4 linked regions of the Oryctolagus cuniculus genome follow. The protein of the gene in region 1 interacts with the protein of each later gene in a pairwise test. Links are inferred from orthologs where the notes say so. Each region holds a gene or a part of one and is shown in the gene's direction. Other genes may lie near its edges. The genes, in order: AP1G1, AP1S2, UBL7 and AP1B1.

Evidence for each region.
Region 2: the proteins of AP1G1 (region 1) and AP1S2 interact in binary tests that used the Homo sapiens proteins (3 or more experiments, as listed by UniProt). The link is inferred for Oryctolagus cuniculus from reciprocal best matches to the Homo sapiens genes AP1G1 and AP1S2.
Region 3: the proteins of AP1G1 (region 1) and UBL7 interact in binary tests that used the Homo sapiens proteins (3 or more experiments, as listed by UniProt). The two-hybrid records come from large-scale screens. The link is inferred for Oryctolagus cuniculus from reciprocal best matches to the Homo sapiens genes AP1G1 and UBL7.
Region 4: the proteins of AP1G1 (region 1) and AP1B1 interact in a two-hybrid assay, tested with the Homo sapiens proteins (2 studies listed by BioGRID, with this or other methods). The link is inferred for Oryctolagus cuniculus from reciprocal best matches to the Homo sapiens genes AP1G1 and AP1B1.

The regions. Positions count from the first base shown.
Region 1 is NC_091449.1:55,426,350-55,430,358, forward strand, and holds the start of AP1G1 (AP-1 complex subunit gamma-1), read left to right. Parts: upstream 1-1,181; 5' UTR 1,182-1,687; intron 1,688-4,009. UniProt on the Homo sapiens protein: Subunit of clathrin-associated adaptor protein complex 1 that plays a role in protein sorting in the late-Golgi/trans-Golgi network (TGN) and/or endosomes.
Region 2 is NC_091453.1:1,986,671-1,990,232, reverse strand, and holds part of AP1S2 (AP-1 complex subunit sigma-2), read left to right. Parts: intron 1-422; coding exon 423-531; intron 532-1,824; coding exon 1,825-1,962; intron 1,963-3,562. UniProt on the Homo sapiens protein: Subunit of clathrin-associated adaptor protein complex 1 that plays a role in protein sorting in the late-Golgi/trans-Golgi network (TGN) and/or endosomes.
Region 3 is NC_091443.1:109,217,430-109,221,483, forward strand, and holds the start of UBL7 (ubiquitin-like protein 7), read left to right. Parts: upstream 1-1,232; 5' UTR 1,233-1,274; coding exon 1,275-1,314; exon of another isoform or gene 1,315-1,569; intron 1,570-2,695; coding exon 2,696-2,908; intron 2,909-4,054.
Region 4 is NC_091452.1:22,748,421-22,751,982, reverse strand, and holds part of AP1B1 (AP-1 complex subunit beta-1), read left to right. Parts: intron 1-565; coding exon 566-711; intron 712-1,065; exon of another isoform or gene 1,066-1,162; intron 1,163-2,175; coding exon 2,176-2,305; intron 2,306-2,388; coding exon 2,389-2,473; intron 2,474-3,059; coding exon 3,060-3,146; intron 3,147-3,247; coding exon 3,248-3,402; intron 3,403-3,562. UniProt on the Homo sapiens protein: Subunit of clathrin-associated adaptor protein complex 1 that plays a role in protein sorting in the late-Golgi/trans-Golgi network (TGN) and/or endosomes.

The DNA.
Region 1 (4,009 bases):
TGCTGGTTCGAGTCCTGCTCCACTTCCAATCCAGCTCTCTGTTATGGCCTGGGAAAGCAGAAGATGGCCCAAGTCCTTGGGCTGCTGCACCCTCTGGAGACCCAGAAGAAGCTCCAGGCTCCTGGCTTCGGATCAGCGCAGCTCCAGCCATTGCGGCCAACTGGGGAGTGAACCATCAGGTGGAAGACCCCTCTCTCTCTCTGCCTCTCCTTCTCTCTCTGTGTAACTCTGATTTTCAAACAAATGTTTTAAAAATACATTTTACTTTCATCTACTTGTCAGAGGGGCAGGGGGAGGGGGAAAGGGAGGAGAGAAGAGAGGAGAAGAGAGAAGAGGGGAGGAGAGCTAGAGAGAGAAGAGCGAGAGAGTTATCTTCAGATCTTCCTGTTCACTTCCCAAATGTCAGCTACAGCATGGGCTGGGCCAAGCAAAAGCATGGAGCCGGGGACTGCATCTGGGTTTTTCAGGTAGCTGGCAAGGGCCCAAACATTTGAGCCATCCGCTGCTGCCTCCCAGGTTGTATTAGCAGGGCGCTGGATCCGAAGATGCTGAGACTTGAACCCGGGGACGCTGATAGAGGATCCGGGTGTCCCGAGCCAGAGTTTAACTCGCTACCCCACAACGCCTGGCTATAACCAGAGGATTTTAGTTCAGGTAGGTCACCTGTCCTTTAAATGGGCCAAGATATCAGGGCACTTTGCACATTCACGTGGAAAAGACTGGTTTCAGCTGATACTAATTATTTATCAAGCCAAGAACTGTCCCGTTGGATTTTTTTTGACGCAAATCATGAATTCCCGAAGTCAGACGGAAAGCCCATTCTGGAAAGGGTTTAGCTCTCATTAGTCCAAATCTTCCCTTTTTACACATGAGGAAACAGGTCCCGGAGAGTTCAAGTCACTCGTCCAATGCAGGAGCAAGACGCAATAACGCAGTTGTGTGGAAGCCATCCTTCGGTGTCAACCTCTACCTCTTCACAAAACTTGTGGCACAGATACCATAAAATGATAGATGTCTAGACCACATGAATGAAGTACGTTCCTGAGGAGACAGGCAACGTCTCAAAGGTGAGAGGAAGGAGCCTGGGATCCTCGTGATTAAGACCAGCTCAGCCCGGCTCAGCGGTCCCCGCCTCCTGGCCGCTCCCACTTCCTCGGCCACTTCCCCTAGCCCCACCCCCTTCAGGTGGCCCCACTGCTTCCTGGTAGCCCAGCACCCCACCGCCGCCGCCGCCACCATCACCGCGAAGCGGAACCAATGTCCGTCGGCGGCGGGGCCGGCCGGCTCTTTCTCGCTCAGACTCATCGCAGCGGTGACTCGGCAGCAGCGTCTCGCGTCATCAGTGACAGCCCCGACTCCGGCTACGCTCTGCGTCGCTCTGCCAGGCGCAGTCGCCTCCTCCTTGGCAAATAGTCCTCGGCGGGGTCCGAGTTCTTGGCTAATCCGAGAAGGGAGGCACGAGAAGTTGCCGTTAGGGGACGCGGAATCGGCTAGGAGAGGGGCATAAGGGGCCGAAGTTTCTGCGGTAGCGTGGGAAGTTAGTTAAAAACTCCCTTCCTTCCGAGGATCCCTCCGCCTGCGGTAGCGGTGGTGAGGCCGAGGGAGCCGCCATTTTGGATGTTCGGTTCCTGCTGCCACTGCTGCCGCCGCCCCCGAAGCTGCTGGTTTCATTCGAGGTTTCGGGCCGGTGAGTGTCACTCGCGGCGCTGAGAGCATATTGCTGCTTTTGCCCTGCTGCTGCCGCGAGCGCACGGCCGGAAGCTTCCTGTCAGTGCCGGGGTCCGGTGCCAGGCTGGTGGGGGGTGGACGGAGGCTGGGCCAGGAGGGGCCCGGAGCCCCGGGGACTGCTCCGACTTCTTGAGGGGCTGACCCCGAGGCCTCGGAGCGGGAGGCAGCGGCCTTCCGTGCCGTGGCGTTGCCCGGCCGGTGCGAGCCTCCTTGAACCCATTGACTTTCTCAGGCTGCGCTCTTGCTTTGCGGGCTCATTCAGCGAGCCCAGGGTTGAGCGGTGCGGGCCCCACCCCCGCGTGCCGTCTCGGAGCCGCGTTATCCGCGTTCTCGCGTCTCCTGCCCGGGTCAGGTCTCAGAGAGAACTCAGCTTTTCCAGAGGCTCGGCGGAGCGCTGCCTGCCCTTGCAACGCCGTCCTCGCCGAACCGGACATTGGCCTCGCCTCGCGCTGATCTTCCAGCCAACTTCCTCCCCAATTTCCCCCTTTAAAAAAAAATTTTTTTTTTCAATGTTTTAAAAACTCACCCGCGAGTGCTCCGCTCTCCCTTCTGTCGGAACTCCTGACCCCGCGGACGTCAGCCTCTGATGATCGCCCTGATCGTCTGGGAGAGTCGGGGCGGTTGGTTATGTTGGGCTGGGTGGGAGATGCGTGCAGCCGCTCGCTCGCCGTGCCTCGGCGCCCCGCGTGCATCCAGCAGATCAGACGGCTTTTGGGGGGCGGGAGCTGTCACATGTTTTTCTCCTTTGTGGGTTCTGTTCCTGTGTTGGCCGCTTACTCTTTGGGTGGCTACCGACTTTCCTGTGATTTCCGTGATCCTGTCTGCCCTTGAGCATGGGAATCTGTGCAGAGTGGTAATCTGACTTAGGTCGGCAGGAGAGTTAACTTCTTTGGGCTGGCGGAGGGATTAGTTGGCAGAGAGGAGTGAGGGCTTTCTTCAGGTGTTCCTACAGACATGACGTGTGCTGATTATGAAAATACTTCCTGTATCGGATTTTTTGGAAATAGTTGGATTTTTAATACTCATTTCTATTGTTCTTTGCAATGCTTGTCAGACTATATATACCTTGACTTCTGGTTTGAAAAACAAGGACCTTCCCGGTGTCCATGATCTTACTACTTTTGTTTTACTCTTAATGCATGTTTGCGACCTAGCATACTTGAACAAAAAGCGTTTCACAGTAATTCACTGATTATTTCCTACATTTCAAGTTAGGTGAGTGTGACTGAATCACCCTGGGTTTTTACCTTTGCAAAAGAGGAATAAGGCATTTGAGGTCGCAGTCTAGTGACTTGAAATTTAAATTTATGACTTGAACCGAACCACGTCTTTTACTATTTCTAAACCACACAGATGCATTATTCTTACTAGGTTATTGAAATTAGACTAGATAAATTCCTGTACAGTCATACGACAACTAAATATTTTGAGCATATGTGCTCTGTTCTTGTTAATAGTCTTACTCAGGCAGCAGTTCTGTGAGTTTGTATTAATTGGAATCTATGGAATTTTCTCTGGGTTTACAGGAACTGTCAGACACTGAACACTTATGGAATATTCACTCATGTACTAAGTACTTCCTTGTGGTTACTACTGAAATGTGTTTCAGAGTTACAGATTTTCTAGCGATATTGGGAGAGTTAAGAGGTGGGTGTTAACTGAACTCAGTTCATTTCATAGTATAATGTACTGGTAGGTAAACACTGCTTATCTTAAACGGTTTGCATTCACTTGAGAAAATGTTCCTTTTGCCTTAACACTTTATTGGCAAAGTGCTGTTCACTGCACCATTGATTGATCAGCTCATATGTGAATGTCTGCTTTGTTTAGGATTATTAGGAGTTGCACTTGAATTAATAGTGTTTAGGAAACCTCCATTCAGTTTTCTTTTGATAACAGTTGATTGCTCTTTGATCTGACTGACAGCGCTTCTGATTTGGGGCAACTAGTAGAGTGAAATTGAGAAGTACAGAAATTGTTAGTAATGCCCTGGTGATATTTCACCCCCAGTATTTATTTTAATAGTGAGTTTTAAAATTCAGTGATATGCAAAACCAAGTTTTTGTGATTTATGAAAACTATACAAGTTAAAAAAGTTGAAGGAGTGTTTTCCAAAGGATTACTTTTAATTAAAAAATTGAACTGGGCATCTACATACCAAAATAGATTTTTGCAGTGCTTAATCCTCTTATTTGCATTTGATGAGGATTTTTGAATTTTATGTATACAGCCAGACTTAGTTGATATCAAAACCATAAAACTCTTATTTAAATTAAGCTTC
Region 2 (3,562 bases), on another chromosome or scaffold:
TTAAATAGCGTATTCCAAAACATGGACCTCATGTTAACAGTGTCTTCAATAAGTCCTTCAGTTAGAAGGTTTACTTTCTTCTCTATTTACTTGTACTTTGAATTAATCAACTTCAGAAAAGTCCAGGTCAACTGTGTTTTCAGATGTTCATAGGAAGGTGCTTAAAAGGAAGAACAAAATCAAAGACCATTTCTAGGTAGTATGATTGAGTGATTGTTTTTGCTCTTTTGCTTGACTATGCTTTTCAAAATTTTTCTTGCACATTTATTACATTTGCAGCCTAGGAAAAAAGAATCTATACTGTTGTGAAAGAAGAAATAAGCATGCTTATAGCATGGATTATTTCATGATAGGTTACAAAAATATATTTAGAAAACTTGATTACAAGTTAACTTTTTTTCCACATTTGTTTTTTGTTACAGATATGCAAGTCTGTATTTTTGCTGTGCCATTGAGGATCAGGACAATGAACTAATTACCCTGGAAATAATTCATCGTTATGTGGAATTACTTGACAAGTATTTTGGAAGTGTGAGTATATTTTATTTCAGGAAATTTAATGCCATAGTTCTTTTTTTAATTTTTAATCTCTTCTTTTTTAAAAAAAAAGATTTATTTATGTATGTGAAAGGCAGAGTTACAAAGAGGCAGAGAGAAAGAGAGATCTTCCGTCTGCTGGTTCACTCCCCAAATGGCTGCAATGGCTGGAGCCGGGCTGATCCGAAGTCAGGAACAGGAGCTTCTTCTGGGTTCCCCACGTGAGTGCACTGGCCCAAGGACTTGGGCTGTCTTCTGCTGCTTTCCCAGGCACACTAGCAGGGAGCTGAATTGGAAGTGGAGCTGAATCGGAACTAGGGCCCATGTGGGATGCTGGTGCTGCAGATGGTTTATCCCACTATGCCACAGTGCCAGCCCCTTAACCTTTTCTTTACAAGGTTTATTATTTGGTTGTCTTGGGCATTCTAAATGTATAATAAGGCAGGAATGATTCTATTTCTTGTCAGTGGGCCTAGTTGTTAACTTCTAAAATTACTGGTCCTACAGACTTACTCATTTTATTATGATGAAAAGTTTATAAAGTTGAAAATAGTAAAATAGAAAGGAGTCCAACTGCAAACATTAACATTCTGGAAGTACTCAGTATAGACTTTAGATTTGGTTAGCAGTTCAGATCACATTATCTAGGAATTAAAACCAGTCTTTATGAGTTGAAAGTTGTTGGTACCACATTGGGAACCTGCAGACCAGGTCTTATGTAGCATAGAGGCATTGTGCTTTCAAATACTTGAGATCTGAAAATTCAGCTTATCTTAAATCAGTGATATTAATATGACTGCCATTTTTTAGAAAGAATTAAAATTGATGCAGTGTTGTCAGATTTTCTTCACTGCCTGATGATATTGATTAAGAATCTGGCTTTGGGGCCAGTGTCGTAGTGTAATGGGTTAAGCTGATGCTGCCTGTGACGCTGACATCCCATTTGGGCACTGGTTCATATCCTGGCTGCTTCACTTATGATCCAGCTCCCTGCCAGTGTGCAGGGAAAGCAGCAGAGGATGGCCCAAGTGATTGGGCCATTGTACCCATGTGGAAGACCTGGAAGAAGCTCCTGTCTTTGACTCTGCCTAGCCCCAACCGTTGCTGCCATTATGGGGAGTGAACCAACAGATGGAAGATCTCTTTCTCTCTGTCACATCTCCCTCTCTGTAGCTCTGCCTTTCAAATAAACAGTAAGTTTTTTTTTAAAAGAATAGAAAGTCTAGCTTTCCTAATTTTTGACAGTGGGTCTTTGTGGGTTTTTTTGTTTGCTTGCTTGCTTTTCAGGTGTGTGAACTTGATATCATCTTTAATTTTGAGAAGGCTTACTTTATTTTGGATGAGTTTCTTTTGGGAGGAGAAGTTCAAGAAACATCCAAGAAAAATGTCCTTAAAGCAATTGAGCAGGCCGATCTACTGCAGGAGGTACGCTACTCCTTCTCTTGACTAAATGCTTGCATGTTTTGCTTCTGCTAGGGAAGTCTCAGTCATCATTGTTAAGTTTCAGAAATCACTCTGAAACATGCTTGGCATGTAGTGTCCTTGTGTGGTTTATTGCTTGGAATATGTGTCAGTCACATCAATTCAGTCATCTGTGGATGGATAGTTCACTTTGGAGATGGTCTATTGGTCAGACCTCTTCTTTATGGCCCATTTTGGACCCCAAAACACTAGAGTCTAATTTTGGAAGACAGACTACTTTAAGAAGGGGAAGGATTGGCCAAAATTAACAGTAAGTTAAGAACTCTCCATCCATTGTTTTGAATTACTTAAGACAATCCCCTTTTTCATTAGTGTGGATAATTAAGAGTTGACTGTGAGATTATGTTGTTCTTATTCCAAATTGGTTCATTTTTTCACCTCATGTCCATTAGGTACAAATGTAGCCAAGCAATTGTTTCTAATTATACTTTTTGTAGAACCTTCTAGTTTTGTGTTAGCCAAACTGACCAAAAGTATTTCTATTTCTTTTGCTCTTCTTAAAAAACAAGCCATGTTCTGTCAAAACTACCCCATTCTTGTCATACCTCTGTATCCCCAGAACTATAATAACCCCTTTCCCTTTCTATTTACCACAGTCATCCTGGGCTAATTGTATATTTGATGCTTATGTATCATCTATTTGTGAAGTTTAAAATTTCATAGATTAAGTCTGCCTTTCTCTAAAAACAATGTCACCATAATTTAAGCACTAAACTGAATTACGTTTTAGAGCTAATTGTGGTTTTGATCTTACAGAAATTTTATAGCATGAGGAGTTAGTAAACAGGAAAAAAATACAGTGTTTTCATTAGATAGTTAAGAGTGTGTGTATATTAAAGATCTTGAATGCCTTTGACATGGCTCATTTTCCAGAAACACTGAAGACATGGTTTTGTATTTCCAGTTTAACTCCCTCTTTTTTATTACATATTTATCAGTTTATTCTTGTCTTTTAAATTTTAAAGGAGACTTTTAAGTGCAATTTTTTTAGCATTTCTGTTTAACAGAAATGTCAGATGTTAGGGGGAACAAAATAGGAGAGAAGAGTGATTCTCTGTCTCAGTTCTAACATTAATTTTCTGCCTCTGTGAGGAGGAGGGAGCTACTTGGGAATCTCCCTGCCTCAGTCATCAACAGCAGCAGTTTTGTGGGAGTTGCTCAGAGTTGAGATGATATTGGGAATGTACAGCTACTAATGCGAGCAAACACATTGTGCATTTAATGGTCTTGTATTTACCAAATAGAATAGTTAATGTGCCTGCAAAAGTGGGGTATTTTATTGGCAGCTCTGGTACTATTTGCTATTCAATAGTGAAGTGAGCACAAGCTCTTTTCCTTGTGTGTAGTTTGCCATGGTGGTTTATTAATCACAAACCACGTCATTTTGGGGATTTTTGTTTTAACATCAGTTGTGCTGACTACAAGTTCACATTCTGTTGTAAAATTGTTCTTAAAGTTAGCACATCCTTATTTTGCTCTTCACTAATCAAATTTAAAAAAAATAGGTCAAAACCAGGATTAGGAATTGGAGGTCTTATTTGGA
Region 3 (4,054 bases), on another chromosome or scaffold:
AGACAGCTAGAGCGCATAGCTGTGGCCCGAAGAATCCATCCAACACTTCCTTACTGCGCACCCACTATGGGCCAGGCCCTAGTCCGGTGGAGGGCAGGACAGAGTCCATTCCCCCACGGAGAGGCCAAAACTACTCTAAAGAACATATTCACAAGCTCCCAGCGCGGTCAGACAGGGTCGCGGGCTCCTGCTGCAGGCGCCAAGGCACAGTACGGACGTCTGATAACAAGACGGGCAGCGTGGTCAGCGAGGCAGACAGGACCCCAAATAGGGCGGGATGGTTGGGGCGACTCCTGAGACGTGGCGTGGCTAAGGGCGGGCCGGTAGGGTGGGCTAAGGGGGCGCCTATGGGGACAGCCATGAGGGGCCTGGGCTTCCGTCCGAAGCCAGGGCAGACCCTGGGGGAGCCCAGCAGGAGGGCGGTCATCCTGTGGCCGGTGTCCGAAGCCAGGGCAGACCCTGGGGGAAGCCCATCAGGGGCGGGGGTCATCCTGTGGCCGCTGTCCGAAGCCAGGGCAGACCCTGGGGGAGCCCATGGCGGGGGTCATCCTGTGGCCGGCGTCCGAAGCCAGGGCAGACCCTGGGGGAGCCCCGCAGGGGGGCGGTCATCCTGTGGCCGGCGGAGCAGCCCCGGCGGCCGCCATCGTCTACCTCGCCACCTCCGGACATCCACCCTTTCTGCGGCGGCTCCTCTCGGGGCTCCAGGCCACCCCACCCCGAGCCCGGTCCGGAGTCTCTCTCCAGCACGGAAGCTAACTCTAAACTCGTGCAAACTCCCCCTCCGCACCCCGCCGCGGCAGAGGGCGCCCCGGGAGCCCCTCCGGGACCAAAGCCGGGCGCACACCGGGACGCCCCCATGGGTAAGTCGCTGGCGGCGGGCGCAAAAGAGGCCGACTCCACGCGTGGGCGGAGAGCCCACCGGCGACGGGCGTAGCGAAGGGAAGGAGGGGTCGCGGCGGGACGCGGGTCAGGGGCCGCCGAGGGCCCAGCGGCGGGCGTCTCCACCGCCGGACCCCACACGCTCCTCAGCGGCGCGCGGGAACCGCCGGGCTGGACACTGTCTTTGAAACAAAAAAAAACGAAAAAACCCACAAATGCCTGTCCCGCGACTCGCGGGGGCGGAAGATGCGGGACGCTGCCCACAGAGAGGCGAGGCGCAGCGCTCCCGCGGGGCAGTTCGAACATCCCGGAAGCCGCGCCCTCCCCGGAACCGGAAGCGTCGCCGCCACGAGCCCGCCCGGGGCGGGGCCACGGCGGGGACTGCAACTCCCACAATGCAGCGCGGCGCTTCCGGTTTCCGGCGCGAGGGCCTGAGTGAGTGTTTACACCGGCGGCCCTGCGGCCGGGTTCCTTCCGCGGGACGGGTGAGGGCGCCGGGCCCCGGGTCGCGCGGGCTGCACGGGGGGCGACTGGTTAACTGGCCGCGCGAGAGCGCTGGGGTCGCCGTGGGACAGCGCCCCTGCCCCCACCCGTCCCTGTCCGTGATCGTGACCGGGTCTCGATCGCGGCGTCGAGTGGAGGGATGGTGCTGCCCGCCTCGGGAACGCGTGTCCGGCTTCAGTGAGCGCGGTGCATATAAAAAGCCCCCTTCCCGCATCTCTTCCCTGTCTTGAACCTGGGGTGGGAGGTCCCTTGGGGGTGCAGCCTCGTGGCCTTTTCCGTCCTCTCTGCTGCCAGAGGCCTGCTTGAGGCGGTAGCGATGCCTGTGACAAGGGCCTGACCCGAGTCTCCCACCCTCAGAGGTTCCCGATTTATTTTCTGGCCGGCCGTGTGTACCAGGGACGGAGACCCTAAAGGCGGCAGATTTTAGGGTCTTCTTGGCAGTGTGGGGCGGGGGCGGGGGCGCTGATGGGAAGCTGTAGCCCCCTTTGCCTCCAGGGGGCAGGGGACGTGGACACGGAGGAGGTTGTAGGTGGGTCGGTCTTGCTAGAAGTGTGCCAAGAGGCCAGAAAGGGAAGAGGACACGGGTGAGCGGGCCTGTGCCCTGGGCGGTGGGCGGTGGGCGGCGAGGTGGGGCCGGGCGGAGCTCTGATGGGGCGGAACCTTCAAGCCGGGCCGTGCAGGTCAGAGCGTGGAGCCGCTGGAGCGGTCATAAGCAGAGAAGTGACCGGACCGCACCTGCGTGTCAAAGCGCTGGGGGGCCGGCCCGGGGGGAGGGGCAGCGGTTAAAGGCCCCGCCCGGGCGCCGCCTCCCACGTCGCAGTGCGGGGGTTCAAATCCCAGCTCCTCCTGCTGCACTTCAGCAGGTGAGGGCTCAAGGAGCTGGACCTCGGCCATGCACCTGGGACACGTGGGTTGAATTCGGGGCCCCCAGACACTGGCCGATGGGCAATGGAGAGTGGCAGGTGTCTGTTTCCGTGCCTTGCAAATAAAATGTAAATAAATCAGGTTTACGATGGTGAGTTGGGTGGCCTCGTGGAGGTTTGGTGAGAGGCAGCAGGCAGAGAACTTGCTATGAAGCCGGGAGTGAGTGGGTAGACGAGAGGGGGCTGGGTGGTTTCCTTTGGGCCTCAGGACATTCCTGTGGGGTTGGATGGTGCTGCAGGCCCCTGCTGCCCGACGCAGGATGAGTGCTGGTTCTGGCCCAGATGCTGCATCCCGGGCTTCAGGACACCTGTCTCAGTCAGCCCCTTGGCAGGTGGGCGTGGTGGGGAGGGGCCTGAGCTCCGGCCACTGAGGCTGTGTTCTTTCACAGGGAGAAAGAGAGAGCGCGAACGAGAGAGGATGTCTCTCTCAGACTGGCACCTGGCAGTGAGGCTGGCTGACCAGCCCCTGGCCCCCAAGTCTGTTCTCCGGTTGCCAGAGACAGAACTGGGGGAATACTCGCTGGGGGGCTACAGTATCTCCTTCCTGAAGCAGCTGATTGCCGGCAAACTCCAGGAGTCTGTCCCGGACCCCGAGCTGATCGGTGAGCCTCCGCGTCGAGGTTGGGCGGCTCTCGGCTCTCTCTGAGGAGGGCGCTTCTGGAGTCCTGGGCTTGGATTTGTCTGGAGGTGTTGGTACACCAGGGACGTGCGTGTTGGCTGACCAGACACACGTGTCTTACAACAAAGCGGCTGGTTGCCGTCTCAGTCCGTGTTGTACTGACCGCTTCACCACCAGCTGCTCGCCTGTGACCTCACTGAGCTCTGCCTCTCGAAGGGCAGACACCTGGGAGGGAGGGTCGGCCGGGGAGGACTGCTCAGCGGGTAGCATTCGGGACGATCGATTGGAAGGTCTTTTTTGTTCTTGCATTGTCCCGTTCATTTGAATCTCGCAGCGTCCGCAGGGTTAAGCTGGAAAGCTTTTCTGTGCCAGTTTCCGTGTAACTCCATTTTATGAGTTTGTCCTAACAATTGTTAAAATCCATTGATTGAAGCCGGCATTGTGATACCGCCGCTCGTGATGCCGGCATCCCATACAGGTGCCGGTTTGAGTCCTGGTTGCGCTGCTTCCAACCCAGCTCCCTGCTAATGCGCCTGGGAAGCCAGCAGATGATGGCTCAAGAACTTGGGCCCTTACCACCCACGTGGGAGACCCGGATGGAGTTCCGGGCTCCCGGCTTCAGCCTGGTCCATCCCCGGCCATTGCAGCCATGTGGAGAGTGAGCCAACTGATGGAAGACCTCTGTCTCTGCCTCCCCCTCTACCCGGCTCTGCCTTTTGAAGAAAGAAATTTTTTTTTTTTTTTGACAGGTAGAGTTATAGACAGTGAGAGAGAGAGACAGAGAGAAAGGTCTTCCTTCCATTGGTTCACTCCCCAAATGGCCACTATGGCCAGAGCTGCGCCGATCTGAAACCAGGAGTCGGGTGCCTCCCCCTGGTCTCCCATGCGGGTGCAGGGCCCAAGCACTTGGGCCATCCTCCACTGCCTTCCTGGGCCACAGCAGAGAGCTGGACTGGAAGAGGAGCAACCGGGACTAGAACCCGGCGCCCATATGGGATGCCAGCGCCGCAGGCGGAGGATTAACCAAGTGAGCCACAGTGCCGGCCCCAAAAGAAATACTTTTTAAAAAATCTATTAAATAAGAGTGTCCTTTAAAGTGTACATCACTCCCCAGCTGTCTGTGCGACCA
Region 4 (3,562 bases), on another chromosome or scaffold:
AGGATCGTGACTGGGGCATGAACACGGGGAAGTGCCCGGAGACAGGCTTCCCAGAGGAGGAGGCCCTTGAGACTCGAGTGACAAGGGCAGCCAAGCAGCAGAGGGCCTGCCACACGAGGGCTCCTCCTAGGTACTGTCCTTGCTCTGACCAGTTTCTGCGATTCTGGGCCAGCCCTGCCCCCTGCACAGTACAGGCTGTGACAGCTGGGGTGCCGCCGGGCACTTCGCTCTGTCCTTGGCTTGTGCGGAGACTGGCAGGGCACACTGTCTGGTCGTCTCCTCAGCCCACTTCCCCCATATCCTTTTCTGACCATTTTCCTCTCTGACCTCGACTCTCAGAGCAGCCCTTGAGCACGCCCAGCACCTTTGCAGCGCGAGCTGCTCAGTGCGAGGCCACGGGCTCATTCTCCTCCCCTGAGGTCAGTGGTCAACCCCTAGGAAGCAAAGCAGGGTGCTCAGTCTGGGAGGCCCCTCCAGGAGAGAAAGAAAAGGGACCCTGGGGTGGGCCCTTGTGTCTGGGCCAGGACCTGGCACATGCCAGCCACCCCCCTCCCCCTTCTTGCAGGTCTGGCTCCCGGCCATGAAGGCTAAGGGGCTGGAGATCTCGGGCACCTTCACACGCCAGGTGGGCGCCATCTCCATGGACCTGCAGCTCACCAACAAGGCCCTACAGGTCATGACCGACTTTGCAATCCAGTTCAACCGCAACAGGTAAGCTCCCGAGGCCAGCCACCTGCAGGCAGGGGCTGAGGGCCCCGGGGAGCTGGAGCGGGTGGCATTGCTCACCACCCTACAGGCCGGAACTCTCTTCCCTCCATGGCCACTTTCGTGGACTCTGCAGTCCCAGAAAGAGTGGGGAGAGTGTTTCCCCAGTGGCAGCCCAGGAGCTGGCCCTTGGCAAACACCCCACCTGTCAGGAGGGTCTGTCCCCCAGTGAGCCTGCCCCTGCAGGCAGGGCCTCAGGGGTGAGCCCTGCTCCAGGCCGTCAGCCCTGCCAGGTCCCCGCACAGCGAGTGACAGGAAGGCTACCTGTCTGTACCACCGTGGGTCAGGCCAGGGCTCTGGAGACCAAGCAGCCCCTCCTGATGATCCCTCTTCCTGAGCGGCTCCAGTGATGAGCAAACTGAGCCTCTAAGAAGTTGACTGAAGGGGCTGCTTCCTCGGGGAGCCGTGGCCAGGGACACCCCCACCCTCCGGCAGACAGGGAGGCTGGGGCAGCTCCTCCCCTTCCGCTCAACAGACCCTGTCGGCCACAGACATGCTCCAGGCTGGTCACTCAGAAAAACCTGCTGGCTGGAACACTGTGCCCAGGGCTCTGGGGGTATTGTCTCACTTGAAGCAGGTGACAGCCCGTCAAGTCAGGGCCATTACCTCTGGGCTCAGGGCAGGTAGGTTGCCCCAGGTCACGCAGCAGGCAGTGGCGGAGCTCCCAGGAAAGCCTGTAGTGCGGGGCCACTGCGCGGGCCTGGGTCGCCCGCTGCTTCTCCCGCTGTGTCCCAGGCAGGCAGCTCGAGCTCTGACTCAGCACTGTCACTCACCTGTAGAGCAGACGTGGACCTGGCCCTCCTTGAGGTACACCATCTTCACCTGGAAGATGAGGCGATGTGTGCCTGTCTCTGTTTCCTGAGCTTGGGAATTGGTATCAAGTCAAATGCCAGCCTGGGCGGATGGAGCCCCCAGTCCATGCTGTGTCTGACAAGGATCTGAGTCTCCCCATTTGCTTATGTGCTGCCGTAGAGAAGCAGGGCTTTCCTGAAACTGGCCATCATGTGACCTGGCCAGTGCTGCCCTAGACAGTAAATCCCAGTGCCCGATGGGGTTCACATCCTTCCTAGGGAGTGGGTGTGGGCAGCAGAGACTTGGGCAGCCACAGAGCTTTGCCACAGGCTGTTGGTAGGAGGAAGAGCTTGTGGAGGGAGGACAGGCAGGGCCTTGCTTGTCTGAGGCTGCCCAGTGCCCCCCAGGCCAGCGTCGGCCAGCGCTGGGCTGGGCTGGGCAGAGCCTGCAGCCTGGGGCCCTTTCCTCCTGTGCCACAGCCACTGAGGGGCCTGGGAGCTCGTGAGCCTGTCCTGCCCCAGGACTGCAGCTCGGCTGAGGCAGCTTGGGGAGGAGCCCACCTGTGCCCGGTCAGCACCTGCTGCCCAGCTGTGCCTGCGGGGGCTTCTCTCTCCCTAGCTTTGGCCTGGCCCCCGCCGCCCCCCTCCAGGTCCACGCACCACTGAGCCCCAACCAGACTGTGGAGATCTCGCTGCCTCTTAACACGGTGGGCTCGGTCATGAAGATGGAGCCCCTGAACAACCTCCAGGTGGGTCCCCCCCCCGCCGTGGCAAAGGGGCATGGGTGCCGGGAGGGACGTCCTGCCTGGGGCTGACGGGCGCCTCTGCCTAGGTGGCCGTGAAGAACAACATAGACGTCTTCTACTTCAGCACCTTGTACCCTCTGCACATCCTCTTTGTGGAGGACGGGAAAATGGGTGAGTCGTGAAGGCCCCAAGCAGGGGCCAGGGCTTAGGAACCTGGCCCAGCTGGCGCTTGCCCAAGGCCTGGATGGTTTCGCCTGCCCCTTGACTGGGTCCTTGCGAAGCCTGTCCCAAGGGGCATGCCTGGCCAGCAGGTGGGCTGTGCCACACAGGGTCATCTCACTTGCAGGCTCTCCTGCCTGCTCTCAGCCTTGTCCCAGGGGTGGCAGGGACCCCAGGTCATGTCCCGTGACTGGCACTCACTGCTTTTGTACCCAGAGGCCTTAGCCATGCCCTGGGCTGCCGGGATTGTCTCTCACTTGACCCAGGAGGAAGCCCCATGAGGCAGGTGTGACTGACAGGCTGCCCTGCCCGGGCAGGAGGCCGGCATGTGGTGGGGTGGAGGTGGGCGGCAGGAAGCCCAGGGTCCCTCGGGAGCAGCTCTCGGGCCTCCTCACAGAACTGAGGGTGTGCTCGGCTTGGGGCTGTGCGGGCGCTGGTGCCCGTCCTGAATTTCAGGCGGCACACTGGACACAGGCCCATGGCCTGTTCCAGGTGGTTGAGGGGCCACGGGTTTATGAGGGTCCCCCTCACCTTCCAGACCGGCAGATGTTCCTGGCCACATGGAAAGATATCCCCAATGAGAACGAAGCCCAGTTCCAGATCAGAGACTGCCCCCTCAATGCGGGTGAGAACCCCCCAGCCCGACCTTGAGCCCTGGCTGGGCCTTGGCTGGCCCTGGGCCACTGCCCTCTGACTGGGTCCTCTCGGGTCCTCCCGACCTCACAGAGGCCGTGAGCAGCAGGCTGCAGAGCAGCAACGTCTTCACCATCGCCAAGCGGAACGTGGAGGCCCAGGACATGCTCTACCAGTCCCTGAGGCTGACCAATGGCATCTGGGTGCTGGCCGAGCTGCGCATACAGCCCGGCAACCCCAACCTCACGGTGAGCGCCCCGTGCCTACCAGGCGCCCCAGCCGGGGGCGGCTCTGATGGGGATGCTGCGCCAGGGGTCCCCCTGAGCCTGCCGCGAGCAGGAAGGCACCTTTCTAGGGAGCTTCCAGCTCAGCCCTGCCAGGTCACCCACAAAAGCCTCCAAGTGGGTC